7 linked regions of the Daphnia pulex genome follow. The protein of the gene in region 4 binds, or shares a complex with, the protein of the main gene of each other region. Links are inferred from orthologs where the notes say so. Each region holds a gene or a part of one and is shown on either strand. Other genes may lie near its edges.

Evidence for each region.
Region 1: thioredoxin-like protein 4A (region 4) and probable small nuclear ribonucleoprotein E share a complex: the UniProt entries of both Homo sapiens proteins name them as parts of the U4/U6-U5 tri-snRNP complex. The link is inferred for Daphnia pulex from reciprocal best matches to the Homo sapiens genes TXNL4A and SNRPE.
Region 2: thioredoxin-like protein 4A (region 4) and small nuclear ribonucleoprotein Sm D2 share a complex: the UniProt entries of both Homo sapiens proteins name them as parts of the U4/U6-U5 tri-snRNP complex. The link is inferred for Daphnia pulex from reciprocal best matches to the Homo sapiens genes TXNL4A and SNRPD2.
Region 3: thioredoxin-like protein 4A (region 4) and U6 snRNA-associated Sm-like protein LSm8 share a complex: the UniProt entries of both Homo sapiens proteins name them as parts of the precatalytic spliceosome. The link is inferred for Daphnia pulex from reciprocal best matches to the Homo sapiens genes TXNL4A and LSM8.
Region 5: thioredoxin-like protein 4A (region 4) and probable small nuclear ribonucleoprotein G share a complex: the UniProt entries of both Homo sapiens proteins name them as parts of the U4/U6-U5 tri-snRNP complex. The link is inferred for Daphnia pulex from reciprocal best matches to the Homo sapiens genes TXNL4A and SNRPG.
Region 6: thioredoxin-like protein 4A (region 4) and protein AAR2 homolog share a complex: the UniProt entries of both Homo sapiens proteins name them as parts of the U5 snRNP complex. The link is inferred for Daphnia pulex from reciprocal best matches to the Homo sapiens genes TXNL4A and AAR2.
Region 7: thioredoxin-like protein 4A (region 4) and pre-mRNA-processing-splicing factor 8 share a complex: the UniProt entries of both Homo sapiens proteins name them as parts of the U4/U6-U5 tri-snRNP complex. The link is inferred for Daphnia pulex from reciprocal best matches to the Homo sapiens genes TXNL4A and PRPF8.

Annotation. Positions count from the first base shown.
Region 1 is NC_060026.1:14,103,919-14,106,453, forward strand, and holds probable small nuclear ribonucleoprotein E, read right to left. Parts: upstream 1,189-2,535; 5' UTR 1,064-1,188; coding exon 1,016-1,063; intron 936-1,015; coding exon 767-935; intron 708-766; coding exon 640-707; 3' UTR 501-639; downstream 1-500. Other genes in the region: serine-rich adhesin for platelets-like, read left to right, coding at 1-105. UniProt on the Homo sapiens protein: Plays a role in pre-mRNA splicing as a core component of the spliceosomal U1, U2, U4 and U5 small nuclear ribonucleoproteins (snRNPs), the building blocks of the spliceosome.
Region 2 is NC_060018.1:305,154-307,981, forward strand, and holds small nuclear ribonucleoprotein Sm D2, read left to right. Parts: upstream 1-1,304; 5' UTR 1,305-1,475; intron 1,476-1,544; exon of another isoform or gene 1,545-1,576; 5' UTR 1,577-1,692; coding exon 1,693-1,697; intron 1,698-1,839; coding exon 1,840-2,095; intron 2,096-2,164; coding exon 2,165-2,272; 3' UTR 2,273-2,328; downstream 2,329-2,828. Other genes in the region: cofilin/actin-depolymerizing factor homolog, read right to left, coding at 94-96; proteasome subunit alpha type-6-like, read right to left, coding at 2,386-2,443, 2,506-2,716, 2,787-2,828. UniProt on the Homo sapiens protein: Plays a role in pre-mRNA splicing as a core component of the spliceosomal U1, U2, U4 and U5 small nuclear ribonucleoproteins (snRNPs), the building blocks of the spliceosome.
Region 3 is NC_060019.1:330,985-333,608, reverse strand, and holds U6 snRNA-associated Sm-like protein LSm8, read right to left. Parts: upstream 1,132-2,624; 5' UTR 1,053-1,131; coding exon 1,022-1,052; intron 960-1,021; coding exon 919-959; intron 838-918; coding exon 710-837; exon of another isoform or gene 644-709; coding exon 553-643; 3' UTR 501-552; downstream 1-500. Other genes in the region: zinc finger protein 277-like, read left to right, coding at 1-188, 251-335, 403-489; alpha-ketoglutarate-dependent dioxygenase alkB homolog 7, mitochondrial-like, read left to right, coding at 1,726-2,010, 2,087-2,254, 2,320-2,444, 2,523-2,624. UniProt on the Homo sapiens protein: Plays a role in pre-mRNA splicing as component of the U4/U6-U5 tri-snRNP complex that is involved in spliceosome assembly, and as component of the precatalytic spliceosome (spliceosome B complex).
Region 4 is NC_060018.1:1,947,734-1,950,114, reverse strand, and holds thioredoxin-like protein 4A, read right to left. Parts: upstream 1,248-2,381; 5' UTR 1,116-1,247; coding exon 1,038-1,115; intron 981-1,037; coding exon 844-980; intron 780-843; coding exon 566-779; 3' UTR 501-565; downstream 1-500. Other genes in the region: polyprenol reductase-like, read left to right, coding at 1,683-1,870, 1,941-2,089, 2,156-2,350. UniProt on the Homo sapiens protein: Plays a role in pre-mRNA splicing as component of the U5 snRNP and U4/U6-U5 tri-snRNP complexes that are involved in spliceosome assembly, and as component of the precatalytic spliceosome (spliceosome B complex).
Region 5 is NC_060026.1:11,525,926-11,528,220, forward strand, and holds probable small nuclear ribonucleoprotein G, read right to left. Parts: upstream 1,122-2,295; 5' UTR 964-1,121; coding exon 932-963; intron 869-931; coding exon 846-868; intron 784-845; coding exon 659-783; intron 593-658; coding exon 539-592; 3' UTR 501-538; downstream 1-500. Other genes in the region: sideroflexin-1-like, read right to left, coding at 1,510-1,569, 1,635-1,729, 1,798-1,887, 1,950-2,077, 2,142-2,227. UniProt on the Homo sapiens protein: Plays a role in pre-mRNA splicing as a core component of the spliceosomal U1, U2, U4 and U5 small nuclear ribonucleoproteins (snRNPs), the building blocks of the spliceosome.
Region 6 is NC_060019.1:11,511,752-11,515,106, reverse strand, and holds protein AAR2 homolog, read left to right. Parts: upstream 1-1,154; 5' UTR 1,155-1,276; coding exon 1,277-1,443; intron 1,444-1,536; coding exon 1,537-1,652; intron 1,653-1,715; coding exon 1,716-1,832; intron 1,833-1,895; coding exon 1,896-2,190; intron 2,191-2,278; coding exon 2,279-2,453; intron 2,454-2,516; coding exon 2,517-2,750; 3' UTR 2,751-2,855; downstream 2,856-3,355. Other genes in the region: ubiquitin-conjugating enzyme E2 N, read right to left, coding at 17-172, 246-336, 465-494; CDGSH iron-sulfur domain-containing protein 1-like, read right to left, coding at 2,933-3,022, 3,082-3,195, 3,272-3,355. UniProt on the Homo sapiens protein: Component of the U5 snRNP complex that is required for spliceosome assembly and for pre-mRNA splicing.
Region 7 is NC_060027.1:2,049,206-2,053,214, reverse strand, and holds the start of pre-mRNA-processing-splicing factor 8, read right to left. Parts: upstream 2,801-4,009; 5' UTR 2,646-2,800; intron 2,444-2,645; 5' UTR 2,416-2,443; coding exon 2,190-2,415; intron 2,129-2,189; coding exon 1,796-2,128; intron 1,735-1,795; coding exon 1,116-1,734; intron 945-1,115; coding exon 752-944; intron 688-751; coding exon 370-687; intron 135-369; coding exon 1-134. UniProt on the Homo sapiens protein: Plays a role in pre-mRNA splicing as core component of precatalytic, catalytic and postcatalytic spliceosomal complexes, both of the predominant U2-type spliceosome and the minor U12-type spliceosome.

The sequences.
Region 1 (2,535 bases), on a different chromosome or scaffold from region 4:
GATTCGTCGTCCAACCCGTCACCCTCGCCTTCGGGCTGCGGTTCTAGACACAATAGCAATTCCAGTTTGAATTGCAACAGCTTCTCTGTTATCGAAGTGTCATAATAAATTGATAATTATGTATGTGTAATTATTTTAAACACTACTTTATTTTTAGGGTCTGAAATTTTGCTAGTTTTCACTCTTTGCTATGTTGTACACCCCCCACCTAACAGGCTGATATCATTGATACTTTTATTGATTTTATACTTGTACCTTCTATTTTAAGTGGTTACACAATGTTGTGCAATAGGTTATTTTTATTATTGTAGTCCACATGAAATGACTTGTTTTCAAAACATGATTATTCTTGTCATTGTGTAAATTATTCTCTTGCCGGAGACATTTTTCATGTGTAAAAGTGGCTAGGCTTCATCAAAATAAATATTGGAAAATATTACTAGGGAAATTTATATAAAACTAAAAAATAATAAATAGATGTTGAGAATGAAATATTCAAGTGTGGTTGTAGCATCATGTTTTTCTTATCAGTCAGCACATCAAGATTGGATGTACACAAAATCAGTTCCCCGTTAATCAAAGGTAATACACGACAGAACACAAATTGGGAATGCATTCTGACCAATTAATATAGGAAGATTAGTCGTCTCCACTTCCTGCAGCATTTTGGATTAGAGTAATGTTGTCACCTTTCAGCAACACCCGTCCTAAAATAAAACAGCATTTAGAAGACAGAATAATTGTGAGTAAATGAAAACGTCATTACCAATCTGTTTTCTGACATTTGTTTTGACGTAGACTTCCTCTGCATCATCGAGAACAATGTTCATGTACTCATCAAATCCAACAATGTGTCCTTCCATGTGCATGTTGATGTTCTCATAAAGCCAAATGTCTACTCTTGATCTTGTCTGAAGGTATCTGAAAATCAAGTTCTGGAAAAAGACATTTTTGACACACGTGCCGGTTAATAAATCTTCGTGCTGAAATCGAAGTGATAGTGGTGAAAACTTACGATGGGTTGAACCATCACTTTCTGGACTTTAGGTGCTCGGGCTGCCATTTATCTTGAATTGATATTTAATTGATTCCACACGGGAAAATTATCAAATTTCTAAATGAGAGTTGTTTGAGTTTACACTTTTTGTTGAAGAAGAAACGAACACAGACGCTCAATTGCCAACAACGTTGCCAGATATTTATTTCCTCGTAGGGATTTTCCGATATTTTTCAAAAAGACAAGGGCGGCAAAGGCAAGCAGGCAAAGCAGCCAAGCAGCCAAGCCAGAGTAACAGAATATTACTTTTTTTATGCTGGCATCCCGTTCCGGTTTGCGAGGTTCCCGTAGGAAATAATATCAATTAAAAATTTAAAAAAGCAAAAGTAAAGTAAACATGAAATTCAAAATTAATTACATGAATCTATCGGTATGGTGAATGGGAGGGGGGACGGGCTTCGCCTGCCACCCCCGCCCCCCCCCTCTTGCTTCGTTAATCGCTTAAATTACTGTTATACTTTTACATTAAATAGTATCAATCAAACAAGGCCTATCGGAACATCAAAAAATATCTGTGAATCATAAGGGGTGCGACTTAGGTGTGGCGGAGGCTTCGCCCCGCCACCCCACGTCGCACTCTCTTTTTAGCTTAAGTAACAGCAAAATTTATTATTTTCATAAGCAATATGAAATAAAAAATAATTAGTTATAGTTACAGATAAATCTGTAAACAGTTAGAACAAACCAAACCACAACACCCACCCTCTCTTACGCTTCGTTTAAGTTATTTCGATATTTTTACTTGAAATCGTATACTAATAAAAAATAATACATATCGAAATCAATTAAAACATATCGAAACATTCAAAAGTTATGTCAAACATTCAAACATTGGGGTGTGACTTAGGTGTGTGCTGTGGCGGAGGCTCTAGGCCGCCTAGAGCCTAGATAGATGCCAGTTAACTTTTACTTTTGGTCGCTAGAGCCTAGATGCCAGTTTCTACGCGCGCAGTTCAAACTGTTTTTCATTTTCGAGGCGCGCAGTTCAAACCGTTTTCCAATTTCTACGCGCGCAGTTCAAAATTCCAAAAAGCCATCTATTGGCGAAATTTGAACTAATCCTCCCGTATGCCAAAAAACCTGTAGAATTAATATATTTTTCTATTACTCTGCTGACTGGGCCTGTGGGCTGTGGCCTTGTGGCGTGTGGCCGTTCTGCGCCGATCTGCCGTTCCTTTCCTTACAACAACTGATGCTTGCTGCTTGGAAAAATTCACAGAATCACAGCTAATACTGCTAATACTTTTCATTTAATGTCAACTTTTGGGCTGTTCTCGCCTTGGGATCCACAATGAGTTTCGCTGTTCTGTTCGTGGAATAATTTTTTTAAAAAGAAGATAAGGACATATTCATACGAGGGGTCGAGGGCATTCTCTGACGTAACTATAAAACATACGGTTTTAATTTGCCAAGTGTGTCACTGTGTCACATCTCACCTACAGTATTTAATTCAAAATTGGTAAAAGTCAATTTTCAAA
Region 2 (2,828 bases), about 1.6 Mb from region 4:
CTGAATCGAGGACTTTGGGACAGAAATTGGAAGAATTCCACACGTATACAGCAAACACATTTCTAACGACATGACAATATCAACGTTACTCACCATTTTGGACTAAGAAAAAAGTCTAGAAAAATTTCACGCAAAGCTCAAAGACGCCTAAACTGAAAGATCAACCCGAATGACTGCGGGATGAGACGGCACTGGGGGGAGTGAGTGGTGCGAGTGAGAGAGAGAGAGAGAAAATGCCCTCGATAAGATTTTACTCGTGGCGCGGCGAAAGAAGAGGGGAAACTCAGAGTAGACTTCTCTACACCGGCCGGGACCTCGCACTGCAAAATGGCGGCTGTTCCCCAAACTTGAGAAAACTTGGCGCTACCCAGTCCACACCCAGAAAAGCGCGTCATCTGGGGGTGGAATACAGCGCCGTCAAACGATGCCTATTTCGAACCATATTACAAACTTCACTAATTTATCACAAATAAAACATATAATGATAGGCGCATCATTTATCATTTTAAAAATAATTTGTATGACTCTTATTCTGTTTGCTGTTATGTAAAATCTCAAATGTCGTTAAATGAATTCGGGTAACCGCCAGGGGTCTCTGCTTGCTTAGCGATTGAAGGATGATGCCGATTGTAGAGAATTTTGTGTGTACTGGTTGCACATTCTCTGATTGGTTGTCCATATCGGGCGCTTGTTAACCCGAAAAAGGGGAGCCCAAACCACAAACCTGGAGAGAGTTACGAAAAGTAACTTTTTCTGTAAAATCCTCTACTCGCAGATTTTTCTGCTTGAGCAAAAAGTTGCCGACTCTAAATGATCATTCCGACTTCCTAATAAATGGTGTGCATCTCGCATGAGTGTTTTAACGAAAAAAAAAAATTATTGGGCCAGTTGCACACTTATTCTTTCATTCAGTTTCTCGGGGAGGATGACCTTTTATGGGCAGACATCGATGACTCACATTTTTACTTCCCCTCCCTCTAATCTGCCCTCCCCTCCCCTATGTATTAAAAATCTGAAACTCTCGGGACCGGTGTCGACAACTTTCTCTGTTTCTATAATTTAGACCAAAAAGTTTCAATTGCCATAGATCGCCTTCGCACAATGAACAGCCGATAACAGCGTGATTCGAAAGTTTTCGCCGTTTCAGGATGACTTATCAACAACGCTGGAAAGCGTTCTCCATTGGGGACCATGAGAAAGAATAGTCTGTGCATACGGGGGGAATATGTCCATATATGGCATTAGACAAGCTATGCTACATAACATAACATCTGTCGGCTGACAATTGTCAACCGCTTCGGTTTTCTCTTGACTCTACTTTCTGAGGTTTGTATTTCCTTTCCTCTCGACTAAAACGAATTCCAGTACAGAGTCCCAGACGTCTGACGTCTGGGATTGTAAATGTTTTTCTTGGCAAATTTCATTCTTTTCTTTTCACAACAATTATTAGAAATTGAAACGTGTCTCTTAAAAATGTAAGTCAACATTAAAAAACAATTTTTGGCAATTAAATCGCAAATAAGACATAAAATAGCATCAACCGTCTAATGCTAATTAATACAATATGACAACGCAGCATGTACGTTTTGTTTACGAAAAACAAGTGAATAACGGTTTGAAAAGTTAAACGAAGCCGGGCTCAAAAATATTCCAAAGAATATTTCTCTATCCGTTTACATCCTTCTATTTATCATGGCGTAAGTAAAGCTTAAGTTCAATTTCAAAATAGAAAATTTTTAAATCTATATTTTCAGCTAGTTACAGTGTTCCGTGTCTGCAGATTTTTCTCTACTTGACAGTTTCGTATGAGCACTAAATAATAAATGTTTCTTTCCATAGGGCTGTTGCAAATAAACCCAAGTCGGAGATGACACCGGAGGAATTGGCCAAACGGGAAGAAGAAGAATTCAACACTGGACCACTTTCAGTTTTGACTCAGAGTGTAAAAAACAACACTCAGGTCTTGATCAACTGCCGTAACAACAAAAAGCTACTGGGACGTGTTAAAGCTTTTGACCGTCACTGCAATATGGTTCTAGAAAATGTCAAGGAAATGTGGACTGAAGTTCCCAGAACAGGGAAAGGAAAGAAGAAGGTAATTTTCACTATTTCTGCATTCATTCATTCATCTATCAACAGTGACAGTTGTATATTTATTTTATAGAGCAAACCAGTCAACAAGGACCGTTTTATCTCCAAAATGTTCCTACGTGGAGATTCTGTAATATTAGTATTAAGAAATCCTTTGGCTGGTACTCCTGGAGCAAAATAATTGTATGTGTTTATCTCTCACTTTTGTATGAAATAAAAAAATCGAACAGCGGAAAATGTGTTTTATTATCTCGTTTTATTCCAATGTTGAAAGAAAAAGTTACAAAATCAAACTTAATCTTTTTCGGCAATTGCAGTCAGATGCTTATCGATGTCAGTTTCCGACAGAATTCTATAACAATCAGATCAGTCACATTAATTTCCTAAACTTAAATATTTTGCGCATTTTCTTACCTAAATCCTGGTTGATCCTTAGAAACAACTCCAATTTCAATATCAGATGGCTTGAAATCAGCAGTTAGGATATGAGACAGAGTTGTAATAGCAAGCTGGATAACTTCATCATGTGTGTAGTTTTGTTTCTTTTTGTATTTCTTCTCAAGATACGACGATGCCTCGGTTTGTTTAACACCCACTGAAGTAGCACGATAACCACAGTAATATCCTTGAAAAAAAAGTAAAACAGCAATAAAGCATACAATTTGAGAACTTTACACCCTATTTTAGATATATACCTGCTGGGTCAGCTTTGTATACAGCAGGCCCCAATTCTTCAT
Region 3 (2,624 bases), on a different chromosome or scaffold from region 4:
CTGGGCCTGAAAAAGAGCTTTAGTATCTATCAGCAAATTAAGATTGTCAACTACGTCAGGAGACAAGTGCATGAAAAGAAATGCATACTTTGCGATGAGCAGTTTGAATCCCGGGATAAACTGAGAGAGCACATGCAAAACTTCAGTCACTTTAAACTTCCCGATCGGGCAGTTTGGGATCAGTCACAGTAAGCCGGATACATTCAAAATTTTCTATTTGTGGATCCTATTTTATTGGATAAACTTTTAGGTACTACTTTCCAACCTATGAAAATGATGCTCTTCTTTGTTTGCTAGAAGATACCATTCCAGATGATTCTACTGAAACCGACCAAGTAAATTATATTAAGTCTGATTTTTATTAATGTAAAAACTTGTTTTCATGATTTTTCATTTAATTAGGTAACAGTGATCCCTGAAGACACCATCATAAACCTTAAAGTAGTTGAAGAAGAACTGCTTAAACTAGAGCTAATTGTAAAAAAATGAATGATTCTACAAAGCTGTAAAAAAGATTGTATTTCAAGTGATCATGATGGAATAATGCAAACTTTAATGGTGGATTTGAGCTAGTGGTTCTGCTCTTATTTCTGATAAATTGAGTCTGGAATCAAGTTCATTATCAATTTCCCCAATTAAAACTCTGAAATTACAACAAGAAATAGTTATGATTGAGTTATTTTACAGCTAATAAGTGGATGAAACATACACATTGTCTCCTCTGATGATGTGCAGTCCCAGTTGGACTTGTTCAACTCCCTGGGTAGAACTAAACACTCTCTCATGACTGTCGTCAATGATAAGGTTGATAGTCTGATCGAATCCTTTAAGAATACCCTGTAAAAAGAATACATTGAAATTATTTCAAACGGTTTATTGAGTGAGGATGATGCCTTGTGATCGGGCGTTACAACTTACAATAAAATTCCTCCCATCACTCGTGATAACACATACGGAACCTGCGAACAAGAAAGATACAATTTTTCAGTGAATAATAAACAATATAATAATTAAAACTCACGATTAACGTAAGAATCTAACGTTGATGCCATGATTTCTTCACTCGCTTCACTTTGTATTTGGCTTGTAAAAATCGTCTGCAATACAGCGTTGCCGTTTATTTTACTTTAATATCAACAAAGTATTTTCATTCATTCTATTCAGATTTAATTCATACAAACTGTAGTAAACTTATGTTTCAGTGATTAATGATTTCGATAGAGTAATATAATTTTTGTTTATGTATGGAAATTGGTTATTTGAAAAAGACTAAAGAAATCGAGAAGGGGTGCCTGAGGCTATTTTCCCGAGACGTTAATCAAATGGTTGGTGAGGAGAAGAACTCAGCAGGCTAGAGTTTTGATGAATCGTTTTCTTTGGCCATCAAATAAATTTGAAAATCAGATAGGCCCTACATTTCCATTATGCGGTATAATTCTTTATTTGGTCGGTTTTGAGGTATTAACATTAAACGAAATAATATATTAGCGTGACTAACCCCAGCCCAATTTTGTTAAATCTATTTATTTTAAATATACATGTCCATTAAATAAAGTACCGTCTGTCATTTTTAATGACATCATTTTTTACATTTGATTGCAATCAAAACGAAATATGGCATGTCACGTACACACACGCAAACGTCGTCTGCTCTTTGCAGAAAATTGCCGATTTGAAATATTTTGATGTCCGACTTTTAATGGTTGAATATTTTAGCATCGAGATATGGTGCTTTATCTGGTCAATATTCGTGCAGTTTTGAAGCGCGCAATTCCTTTAAGTGCTACTTGTTCCCATTCAAGAAGCACATGCTCAACTCCCGCAGAGACCCGCGGGATCTCTCCAAATTTAGAATTCTCTCCCGACTGCGATGAAGCGACGAGGCAAATGCTTGAGAAAGACTTTCAAGTCTACAAAGATTTCATCAGTGCTGAAGAAGAGAATAACCTATTGGAAGAGTTGGAGGTGAAGTTCAAAAGGTCCCGGTATCAGTATGACCATTGGGATGATGTAAGTCTGAAATTTCGTGTTCACGTAGGTTGTCTGACTGTTGAATGACCACCATTTGTTATTCGAAACCCAAAAGGCTATCCACGGATACAGGGAAACAGAGAAACCTACTTGGAATCAAGTCAATGACTGTGTTATAAATCGGTTGAGAGCTTTTGCCTTTTCAACTACCACGATGCAGCATGTCCATGTGCTTGATTTAGCTGAGAATGGTCACATCAAACCACATCTGGACAGCATAAAGGTATGATAGATGACAGCGTTTGGAAATTATCATTCTAATCTATTCGTATATTTCTCTAAACATAGTTTTGTGGCCCCACCATATCGGGCATATCTCTGCTCACAGCCAGTGTGATGAGGCTCATACATATACAGCGACCCCAAGTCTTGGTCACGGCACTATTACCGAGAAGATCATTGTATATAATGAAGTAATTATCTATGCAAAATAGAGCCCATCGTGATATATAACTCTATCTAAATTTCTGTCTCTCTCTTTGTTATTGCAGGGACTTTGCTAGATACGAATTTAATCACGAAATTCTGAACAATAGCGAATCCTTCTTCCGGGGAGAGAAAGTCACGAAAACTAGGCGTATCTCTGTAATCTG
Region 4 (2,381 bases):
GGTGCACACGGAGTTCAATAAGTACAAGTTCGTTGTTGGACGGCCACCGGCTGTAAACACCTGTTATCCTCTTCACTTTATGGTACTTTCATGGGGATCAGCACATTCATAAGTAAAAAGTTTTGATGTCTTCACTTAGGGGTATATGACACATTGTTCTAACCGAGCTATTGAAACGGTTACATTCATTTAATCTGACGGGGCGAAACAAGAAACAGGCAGGAAACAGACTGCCGCCATAGTGTCGAGCACCTAGTGGCTTAAGTTTAAACTAAATGGACATGTCACTCTATCTCGAGTTCTTTTTGGGAAGTATTCGTTACCTGCTAATAACTACGTACGGTATACGTAAAATATAAAATAATTGAAATAAATTTTCATGGTAAGTTAAATCACTGTTCGGAAACCTAACCGTAAGTAATATAATGTAATTGTTGTAACGATTGTTGTACGATGTGTTTACTTGATGGTCAATTTATGAGACAAACAATTTATGAAAATGGGGATTCAAAAGTGTCATCATTTATTAGTTTTTAATCCAGTGTCATTTAATTGAACAACACAGTTAATAGCGATATTTGGTAGAATAATCTTTCGGTGAAACAACCAAACCTCGACCTTTTCTGGCTCCACGATAGACTGTTTCCACAATGTCAATCATTTCTTGTTTATCTTCTATTGCCCAGTTGATTTTATTGTTGTTACCAGTGCCTAAATCTATCATAATGTGTTTGTTACGGAAGAAAAACATGTTTGTGCAAGGATCATACAACTCGTACCTATATAGAAAAACAGTGAAAATCATTATTGGGATTCATTCATACAATGTAAATATGAAATTACATCTTATTGAAGTCAGGAACTTGGGTGATATCCACTAAATAGATGACAGCAAAGTTCTTGACTTTCTCTGCAATTTGATAAAGCACTTCATCCATTTTCATGCAAGTTGGGTCCCAATCATGACCAAAACGAATAACCTGTAGTAAAGCATGTTTAAATTGATAGTAATATTAACTAGAGAAAGTTTGATTTACCACTAAACGGTCCTCTTCTGAAAGAATTGCTTGATCTACTTGCCAACCATTAACAAGATGCTGTAACATGTAAGACATATTGTTTGATTGATAAAGGTCGTGAAAAAAGAAAAAGCTGAACAGTGCTTAGAAATAGATCTCGCTTCACGTTTTCAAACCTTTCCTTTCAGAAACCCGAAAAAGGTAAATAATGCGTCTGTCAACTTCACGAGTAACACGACATCTGTGTGTGAAATTTTCATCCACTTTCTTTACAAATTCATTCCCAACTCCCAAGGAATATAAACATATTTAACAGTATAAAAATGTGTATAGTTAACTATAAAATATTTAAAGTTTTACTAATAAAACATTTTAAAAGTAAAATAAAATTTATTTCTAATAAGGGATTATTCTTAAGATCTGGCAAGTGGCAATACTTTCGAATTCCCCCCCTGGCCCCCTTCCTCTTATCATTTGTTTTCAATTTTTCGTTCAGACTTCATGGCACGGGGTCGCCTTCAGAAACCCGAAAAACCAGTTGTGCTTTTACGTAAAATCAAATCTCTTTTTACATAACCTGTTGAAAACCGACTATGCTTTCAATCTAAACGAATTAATAACTCAGCCATTCCTTCAAGATAGCCAATAGTCTCAACACCGGCCATGATCACAATAAGCATTGTTATTACCATCTTTATTTTGTTGAGCATGAGTTCCATTCTTGGTATTCTTGTGTTTGTTGTTGATACTAAGTGGATACCAAAGATTATAATTGATCTCTACTCTTATGGGAAAAGTTGTGAAGGTAAGGTATTTGGCAGTTCAATCAGAACTATCCTTATTCCGAAGAGGTATTAAAGTTACTACTGCTGATTCCTTTACAATTAAAATTAAAAATTTATTTTAATCTGCTAAATTAAGTTGGTTTACACACTTTTATGTGTTTGGAGTATTCTATACATTCCTGGTTCTCATAACAATGATGTGGAAGATTGTGTTGAAGAATCAATTATCTACGCTTGTAACCTCATACATTAGTTTTGTATCACCATACACTCACAATCCTTTAGGTAACTGAACAATTTTAACAAAATTTTATTCATTCTGTATTGTTAAAATATTGTCTATTTATAAAGCTAGCCCTGAGTTATCACTATTAGCTGCTGTACTTTTTTTCCTGCAAACATCCAGGAGGTTGTATGAATGTTTGTGTGTCACTGTTTTTGCTGATTCAAAAATGAACCTTGGCCATTATTTAGTTGGCTATCTACATTATTGGGGGTGTGCCACTGTCATACTTTCATACTCAGCTGACTATTCCAGTACAAATGGTAGGTGTTACCAACACAATATTTTCCCATT
Region 5 (2,295 bases), on a different chromosome or scaffold from region 4:
GAACCGACCAGGCATCTATTGCTCTGCCCAGACCTAGTCACTCTCATGTTAATTTTTCGTCTATCAGAATATAGGCCCCACCCTTGTGTATCGTCTGGAGAGCATAGATGGCGTTCAACAATTCCGAGCTCAACAACTATCTAACCTTCTGGCAGTGGCGCTGAATTATGTTATTTATATATACCACATAATATAAATAAGGTAATAATATTACATGCACAATCTCTCATCGTGATTGACGTGATCAAGCTTAATTTGTTTAATTAGCGTCAATAAATGAAATCTTTCATTACCGAAAAATTGTTTTAGAATTCTCATTATTTTTTTACTATTAATTTTAATTTAACATTAATTTCCAGCCATTATATTTCTTCTAATGGTGTTTTATTTGCAACACTCCTTAATTTTCAGTTTATTTGTAACCTTTTCATTCTTAATTCCTCTCAACCCAATGCTAAGATGGCTAAGAAAAGAGTAATAAAGTGGAATGTTTTAAATAATTTACAATTTGGATGACATTTATTTTTCAGCAGTTAGGCTACATGATTCTTTCCAGTGCTTCCAACATTATAATTGAGTTTCCACGAACAACCTAAATTTACATATAAATAGTTAATGGTATTTGAATTTATGTATGCCATGTTAATTTTAAACATACCACCATCCCTATGTTATTTTTCGAACCATCTTTAACTTCTTCAACGGTTTCATCAATGACCAAGTTCATGAATGGATCAAAACCTCTCAAGATCCCAACAATGTTCCTACCACCATTCAGTTTCACTGTGAAAAACAATTCTTCAAAACAGTTTTCAATAATAATTTAACAAAAAAATAATACTTACAAGACATTCTTTTATCCATGTACCTGTACAAAAGAAGTAGAGATCATTATTAAAAATGTAAATATAACTTAAGCAACAATACATACTTCTTCAACTCTGGTGGATGGGCCTTGCTCATTTTGGTTTGAAATAACTAATATCTAATATCTACGTTGATGAATATATCACTAACTTCAAGCAACTAGGAAAAAACGTGATACACCAAGAAAGTTTGGATCGTTTTTAATGTCCGATGCGCGATGCCAAACGTTAGGAACGCGTGTTTGCCAGATATTGAATTTAGAAACTGGCGGCTTTGCGAGACCGGCGACGAGACCTGGCGGCTGGGCGCTGGCGCGCTAAGGAATTTTTTATACAGCTTGTGGCTTTTTTGCCTTATTAAAACAGGAAAAAAATTACGATCTTCAATTAATTGTATAAATTAGCAGCTACAATTCTGTAAGAAAATATTTTTTAGCAGTTTATTTCTATAGCAAAATGACTACCAATTACCTCAACTGGAATGGAAACTACACCAATATACTTTGAGCAAAAAAAAATAAACTGTGGAAGTTACTTTAATTAAATGTGTTTTTCTGTTGTTTTTTTCATTTTCTAGTTGATCTAAGAAACTTGTACTGAGATATTTGCACTCGTCCACAGTAATTCAGTGATTGACTCAAATTTACAGGCCCTTGTTGTAATAAACAACAGTTGGGGGATTCGGGGATTTTCGAATCTTTGCCTGAATTAAAAAAGAAAAGATGTATGTTAAAACAAGAACCACATTAAAACGCTATAAAAAATTACCTGTAGCTCTGGTTCCAGACTGTCAACCGAAATCGATGCTTTTTGAGGAAACAGGGCACAACACATTGGAGTAGCGAAAGTAAGTAATACGCCACCTGTAAGCCAAATAATAATACATAATTGGCCGTTTACAACTACATGATAAATAGTTAATGTTTCATACATAAAGTAACTTGAATAGGTGCCGCAGACCAAGGGAATCGCTTCAAGAAGCCCTTTCGATCCAAATAATTCATCAGCAGAGGTGGTAGGACTGCATATTATTGTGCTGGATGTTTTATTTTTATCAGATTACTATCGTATTACATGAATTACCCATTCCAGGAGAAGCCATTCCGATACGACTAAGGACAACTTGAGTGATACCCCATTTGGCAGCAATCGAAGATTCACCGAGTACATTTCCGTTCTCATCAGAAACTGAGATTCCCTTTTGAATTTCACTAAAAAATCAGTCGTATTTTAAAGCATTAGTTATCTTATGCGACGAGAAAATGTTTATCTTACTGCATTCGCATCAGAGGAATATTTACACAGTTAGCGGCAGCAACAGCTGCAAAGGGTACCAAACGCCCAATAATAGGAGACATTGACTAAAAATTAATTTCTCATAAAGTTATTTACATTATGGTCCATTATATCAAGTTAATATTTTTGATAC
Region 6 (3,355 bases), on a different chromosome or scaffold from region 4:
TAATAAAAATAATCACCTTTCAGAATATCAAGACAAATTCGGCCAAGTTTATCAATATTAGGGTGATAAATCTTTGTCATGAATCGCACTTTAGGTGCAGACATTGGGTACTCTTCAGGCAAAAATAGTTCCAATTTGAAAACACCACCTTCAAATGGAGAACCTTCTGGACCTATGAATTTTAATCAATATGAACTAGTCAGTACCAGAATGACACTTTAAGGTTGCAATTTAAGTTTACAGACCTGCAACCACAACATGGAAATAACGAGCATTTTGTTCATCTGGAACTGCACTAATGCCTGGGACAGGCTCAGCCATCAAACGTTGAGTTTCCTATTGATCAAATTAATGACGAATATACTATATTGCTAGAGAATACTACCGGTCCCATAATAGGATCGGGAGAAAAAAACACGTTGCCTCCCACTTTGATGCAAGTCTACAATTAAGATTTGTGTTACCTTGATTATCCTTCTAGGTAAGCCTGCCATTTCGCATCAATTTGTTGAACAAACAACGAGTATAAAATAAGATTTTCGTATAATAGATGGTAACTTTAAAGCCAAATAGAGAAGACGGAAAGTTTTCACGCTATACGAGTGCCCTATTGCTAATTTAAGACGTTGTCAAATTGTTTGGTGACGAAAATCGGTAGGAGATCGACCCGGCCACACGGGAAGAATTAGACATATAAACATATTATTTTTCAAATTAAGACGATTTATTTAAAATGAACAAAGTTTATTTGAATTGGTTTACAAACGGAAATACACGAGAAAGCTAAACAAAAGGTATTGCTTTTCAAATGCCGGAAATGAGTTTAAACCTTTATTTCAGAACCGTAGAAAATGACCAGTAAAAATTTTTTGGTTAGATTAATTGGCTGTTCTGTTTGCGGAATATTTTAATTATTTTCATGAATCATCTAGAAAGAATTTCGACTTGAAAGTTGAAATAAATTGAAAAAGGGCAAATTAACTAATAAGGCATGATTAAGATTGAATGGCAGGCTTCAACACATAAAATTTTTTATTTTATCACTTTCTTCTCCTATCCTTCTTCATGTTAATTTTATTCCCTTTTTTTATGCAAAATTGCTAGAATTTAACTCGGCAAGTCGGCATCCGGTACTGATCTGACGTCTGACCTCCATGTTGTTTGTTTTTAAACTGTCGTCTGCTAGTATTGTTCGTTCATTGCTTTTGCGTGGTTTCATTCACTCAGCTTCATTCTGTTTTAAAATATAAACCATCAAGTGTCAAACACGGAAAGAATGGATCAAAAATTGGCTAACAAATTATTTGAAGAGGGCGCGTTTTTATTTCTTCTTGGCGTACCAATTGGGACTGAAGTAGGAATAGATTTCAACAGTTGGAGAACCGGCGAAAAATTCAAAGGCATAAAAATGATACCCCCTGGAATTCACTATATTTATTACAGGCAAATAAGTTATTTTTTGTTAGAACAGTTGTGTGAGTGTAACATTCACTGTGAGGTACAAAATGTGATTGTATATTTTTATATAATTTCTAGCTCTGTAAGCAAGGAAGGTTCCGTAGCGCCAAGAACAGGTTTCTTTTACAACTTCAATAAGAAGGAAGTTGTGGTCCGTAAGTGGAACCCAGAAATAGAAGATGTCATCAACGATTGTAATTTTATTTTATAAATCATTATTTAATATTAATTTATTATTTAGTGTTTATCCATAATAGGTACTGATGAAGAAAGAGAAAGTTTAAAAGCCAATTTAAAAAATCTTGATCAGCACTTGGGTCCATATCCATTTGATACCTGGAAGAAATGGATGTCTCTCAGCAGTAAATTGACAAGTATATTTTCTTATACATTATGTAATCTGTACAAAAATAAAATGTCTAACAATTAATATTTAGCTGATGTAGTTGGGAAAGTGGAACCCCTTCAGCAAAAGATTTCATCAGTTACAGAATTAATTTCATCAGAAGATGTACCAGCACCAGCAGAATCTCCAGTGAAAGAAAAAAGAATAAAGAGGTCAAATTATGAAGATGAATTACTACCGCACATGCAACCAAAGCCAGGCACAGCGTTAAATTTTACCAAAGTCCCTGTTGATTTCTATCCAGTAGGATCAAGTGCCATGGAAATCACTAAACATAGCATTGACACATCTTATTTACTGGAACAAATGCTGTCAACTTGGGAAAGGTCGGCATTTTTTTAATATTTATTTTTCGGAACGTAAAAAATACCAAATAGTTTGCTGTATTTAATAATAAATTATTTTCTTGTTTAGACCCAATCAAATGCTTGCTGAACTTCAAATGGCGTTTTTGTGTTTTTTGATAGGACAAGTTTACAGTGCTTTTGAACACTGGAAGAACGTGATTCGTATTTTTTGTTTTGCTGATGAGATTCTGTTGAAAAATCCATCATTAATTGTGGAGTTCATTGGGGATATCTATTTTCAGGTGATGACATTAGAAAACACAATTTTCAACTAAAATTATTAATTAAAATATATTGTTTTTTAGATGCAAGAAGTATCTCCAGATTTTTTTGTTGACATAATCTCATCAGAAAACTTCCTCATTCAAACTTTAAGAGTTTTGTTTGGAAATATTTTGGAAAATGATGCTGTTGACAGACAGCTTAAAAGAAGAGCCTCACAGTTGAAGCAATTTGTAACACAGAGGTTTCAATGGGATTTTGATGTTGAACCAAATGATGAAGCACCAGTACTAGTTGAGTTGGATGAAAGTATGTAATAATATTAAGAGAAAATTGATACTTCAACCACTTCAACCATGATATACTGTACACAAATTTCCTCAATTCCTCAATACATGTGTAATGTGTTTACAAGCTGAAAACCAGTAGTAATAATAACTAAATATATGAAAAACTACTAAAGAGATGGGCAGTAACTACCACATGGTAGATTGCTTGTTCAGTTGCTTTTCTTTCCAACAATTAGTGGGCCAACATTATCACCAGTCTCTGTATTATGCTTGTTGTGTGAACCATCACAGTAGGGAAACTAGGAAAGGATAAAAGTTATATAAGATAAATTAATTTGATCCATAATAAGTTCCTTACCGAAGCACTACGCCAGCATCGGCAGAATACTTTCTTGTCCCCTATGTCTTCTAAGTCAAAAGTGTCAACTACTTTTGAATCACCCTTTTTAATACTCTGATTAACCACACTGCCCTGTATAAAGAATTGTATAAGAAATTAAACTTCAGATTATTATCTTCTAAAGTCAAAATATATTGAGAATCCATACCTTTTTATCACACTTCTTTTTACAAAATCCAGTGCCTGTTACTTTGGCATAGATGAAAAGTGATATACCAACAGCAGCAACCCC
Region 7 (4,009 bases), on a different chromosome or scaffold from region 4:
AAACGTGACTTTTTACGCTCCTTGGTTGTAAGGGTCTTGACGGGTTTCAAGTTGAAATTGTAATCCAAATGTAAGTAGTTGAGGTTCTTCCTGTGAATCAACAAGTTCAACATATTCCATCCTTGACGACAGACCTAAATTTGTTCAAACAAAGAAATGGGTTAAGTCTTTGGGAAGAGATATAAAAATATGAAATGTGAAGTTAAGAGGATTGTTAATATCAGTAAGTGCGTTGTCCCATCGAAAGTTGGCTAGCAAACGGCCAGACCCGACTTTCAATGTCTACCTAACATGTTATGGGTAATTTCATGACCCCTGCACAACTCATCATTATAAAGGACTCTTAACAGGAAAAAGTTTAATATTTACCTGGAGGCCGACTTCAACCCAATCCAAAGTTGTTTGCTGGAAGAATTTGGTCGACTTGAAGGACCGGAAAAGATAACGCTTGCGCTGGGCTTTCGGTGGTCGATGCTTGAGCGCATTCAAGACGTAGTACTTTAATAGCTTCTGGTATGAAACGCGCACCTTGACCGGTTGTCCGGGTGGGCAGTGTTCACGGTACCAGTTTTTGACCAATGGAACATCCAGTGCACGACGAGTGAATCCCGACCTGCAGTTGAACGGCCTGGGAGCCCACAACAACGCAATACCGTTCGCTGTGTTGTCCGTATACAAGGGCCATTCCTGTCAAGAGAAATATCGATTAAAATTGCTTTTTAACTAAAATTTCAGATGATGGAAAATTTACTTGAAGCAGTGGTGCCGCATATTCTGGTAATTCAAATTCTTCGCTATCGTCGGGTAACAAATCTTGCTCAGACATTTCTGCCAACTTGTTCTCGGTACGGCGATGCGAAATCGGATTGATGAGCGGATCGAAGTAGAAAGCCGGCAAATCGGGATCTTCTGTCTTGATGAAGGTCACATTTGGGGTGTGATACCTAAAAGAGAAATAATCATTGTAGGGCTCAATATAGTTTTATGTAGTAAAGACTAAGAGCTCTTGGTTTTTTTTATCTACGACTGTTTCAGCCACCAACATCCAAGTATCTTCTGGATATCGGTGTATATCTCAGCCATTAAAGCACAAGTTGAAAGCCAGTATTACTCACCAAGATAAATGAACAAAGTTGGGCATGTTGTTGTAGAGATAGGGGAAGGCAATACGATATTCTGTTCGAACAGGTTGCCGGATGATAATCTTGTTGATATCATTAAATTCATTCCAATCCTCATCTTGAGTGTTTCCGTCCTTTACAAGTGGCTCGAATTTAGGTCCACCCGGAATTGCCATATTCAGCGCCTTGGCGGTGAAGAATGACTTGAGGTCGAAGAGGTAAAAGTAATTGTCATCGACGAGGTCAGTCAACAATTGGTTCGCCAAACGGTAGAGTGTCGCCAGTTGAGGCATTTCGAGTTGCCACTTGCGATAGGTGGTACCATTGACGAATTTAGTATCGACCAAAGGTTTACTATCGTACAGCCAAGAAGCAACTGGTTTGTCTTCGTCCGAGTCCAACTCCATCTGAATGGCTTCCAGGGGTTCTACATCCAAAATATTGTCAGCATAGTCCAACGGAGGTTCTTCGTCGTCAAAAGGAGGAAAGCGCATTCGTTTGAAGTGTCTACGATCTCGTTTCTCTCGACGCATCATAATCCACATGGTACCCCACTGGGCAATGTAAACAGGTTCAACGACCCACGGAATTTCGTTGACGAAGCTAATGGCACCTAAAACAAATGAATACCATTAGCGTTTATACAACATAAAGAAAAGATAAGTGAAACGAACCTGTAATGTGGTAGAGTACTTTAACATCACGGATTTGTTCCCAAGGCATAGGCATGTTCTCCAAGAGCTTGAGAACAGCGTGTGGCATATATTTAAGAGCACCAAGGTACACTCTCTTGTCGTGACGGAACTTTCGGTTGGTCATATCACCATGGTCCCGAATGATTTTACGGACGTGCTCTGGAGGCATATCTTCTTTCTGAGAATCAACAAAGCCAAACTTTCTCTTGTCTGCATAACGTTTGGTTTGTAATTGCTGCCATTTACGAGCCTTGTCTTGCATTTTTTCTTCTGTCATCTGCTCTTGTTTCGAACTAGTTATTACAGGAGGACCTGATGTAAATAAAACTGATAAAATACCTTGTTATAATAAACGTTTGTACTCAATTACTACCTTGTGTTGCCTGAACCTGAGCCTGCACTTGTGCATGGGCTGCTTGAACTGCATGGATCTGAGCAGCTTGAAGTTGAGCAGCTGCAGCTGCTTGAGCCTGCATTTGGACCGCAGCAGCCATTTGGGCTTGCTGTGCCTGTTGCTGGGCTTGCGCCATCATGGCCGCATTTGCCCATGGATTTGGGGGTGTGACACCAGGAATAAAAAATGGTGGAATTCCCGACATCCTGATTTAAGCTTTCTGGGCTATGGCCCTGGTAATTAAAACAATAAAATTAGAACATAATAGCTCCATCATCCAATGCTTACAGTCAGCCATGACATTTACAAGCATGTCCACTCTCATGGCAATAAACTATTTGTTTAGCCTTAAAACATTCACCAGACAGTTACTTTTGAGACACAAACCATCATCAATGAAACAAAGTTTGAAATAGAATAAACGACAATGCTCACCAATAAAGTTTTAAAAACCTATACACAATCTAGAAACCAGTCGCAATTCCACGTTTCTTATACAATGAAAGCCACGGAAGTATACGCAGCTTGTACGAAAAAGCGCGATGCCGGTTTACTGTAGACGGAGTTGCCGTCGAAAATGGCTTGAATATTTATTTTAATTATTTTTAAATAAGCGGCAACTCCGTTTGTTATTGCATCACACGTTCGAAATTTGTCTGCTTCTTTTTATTTTGAGTTTGTTGCAGTTTTTCGTTTTTCTTATCATGTTTACACATTGTTATCGTTCGATTTGATAAATTAGTAGTGAAAGTTTATCGCTACTAAACCGAACTCAGTGCAAATTCTTAATGATCACCATTCTAGTCTGTAGTTCAAAATATTTTTTGTGACTCCAATTATCGTAACAACAATAGACTACTGCCATGGAAGTATAAAATTATAATGTCCCCTTTTTCAAGACAAGATTAAAGAGGATTTCATTTTTTTTTTTATGTAAACGTTTTATGTATTTCAGACTCTTGCAATCAAGTTGATTGAAGGTCTGTTGGAGGAACTGTCGAGGACAAAATCACTTTCAGTTTCCTTAGCTGGACCATTAAAAGATTCAGCCACTGTTGCTTTGCCAACCTTCCTTGGTGGCTTAGCTGGTGGTCCTCTTGGAGCTGTCATTGGTAATTTTCAGTTTGGCAGTTTTCATTTTTTTCCATTTGGCACCTATCATTTTTTCTTGTCATCATTTGCAGGAGCTGTCGCAGGCACAGGAATCCTAGGTTTATCACACGCTATGGGATATGGCAATTACAAACCTCTGATGACAGCTTTAAGAGAGGACTTTACGGTAGAAGAGAGGAACAATTTGTATGAAAGACTATGGGGAAGACTGAGTGGATTTGTAGTCTGCCCTTTGAATCAAGCCATGGCTTATTCAGCTCTAACTGAATTGAGCAGAACTGTAGAGAATAATCCAGAAGTGATGGAAAATATCAGAAATGAGCTCAAAGAAACCCTCAGCAAAAAGAATATGAGTTTGGCCTAAAAATGAAATAATTACTATTTACTGTAGTTTTTAGATGCCCCTTATAATTGAACTGCCCCTTTGATTTGTGATATTGCAAGAGCTAAAATCATATTAAATAATGAATTTTTTGACACACAATTTATGCAACCAACAATAATTGTTTGAGAGTTTTGGCGCATTATTAAATACACTAAGTGCATCACCAATTCAAGGGGAACTGTTTTTTAAGTTTTAGTTTAGTTTGACCTGATGCATATCATACGAAAATCCAGTAATTCTACCTATTAGATTATACTTCCTTTATTTAATAATGAACACCTTTAATTTCTTCAAATTCTCT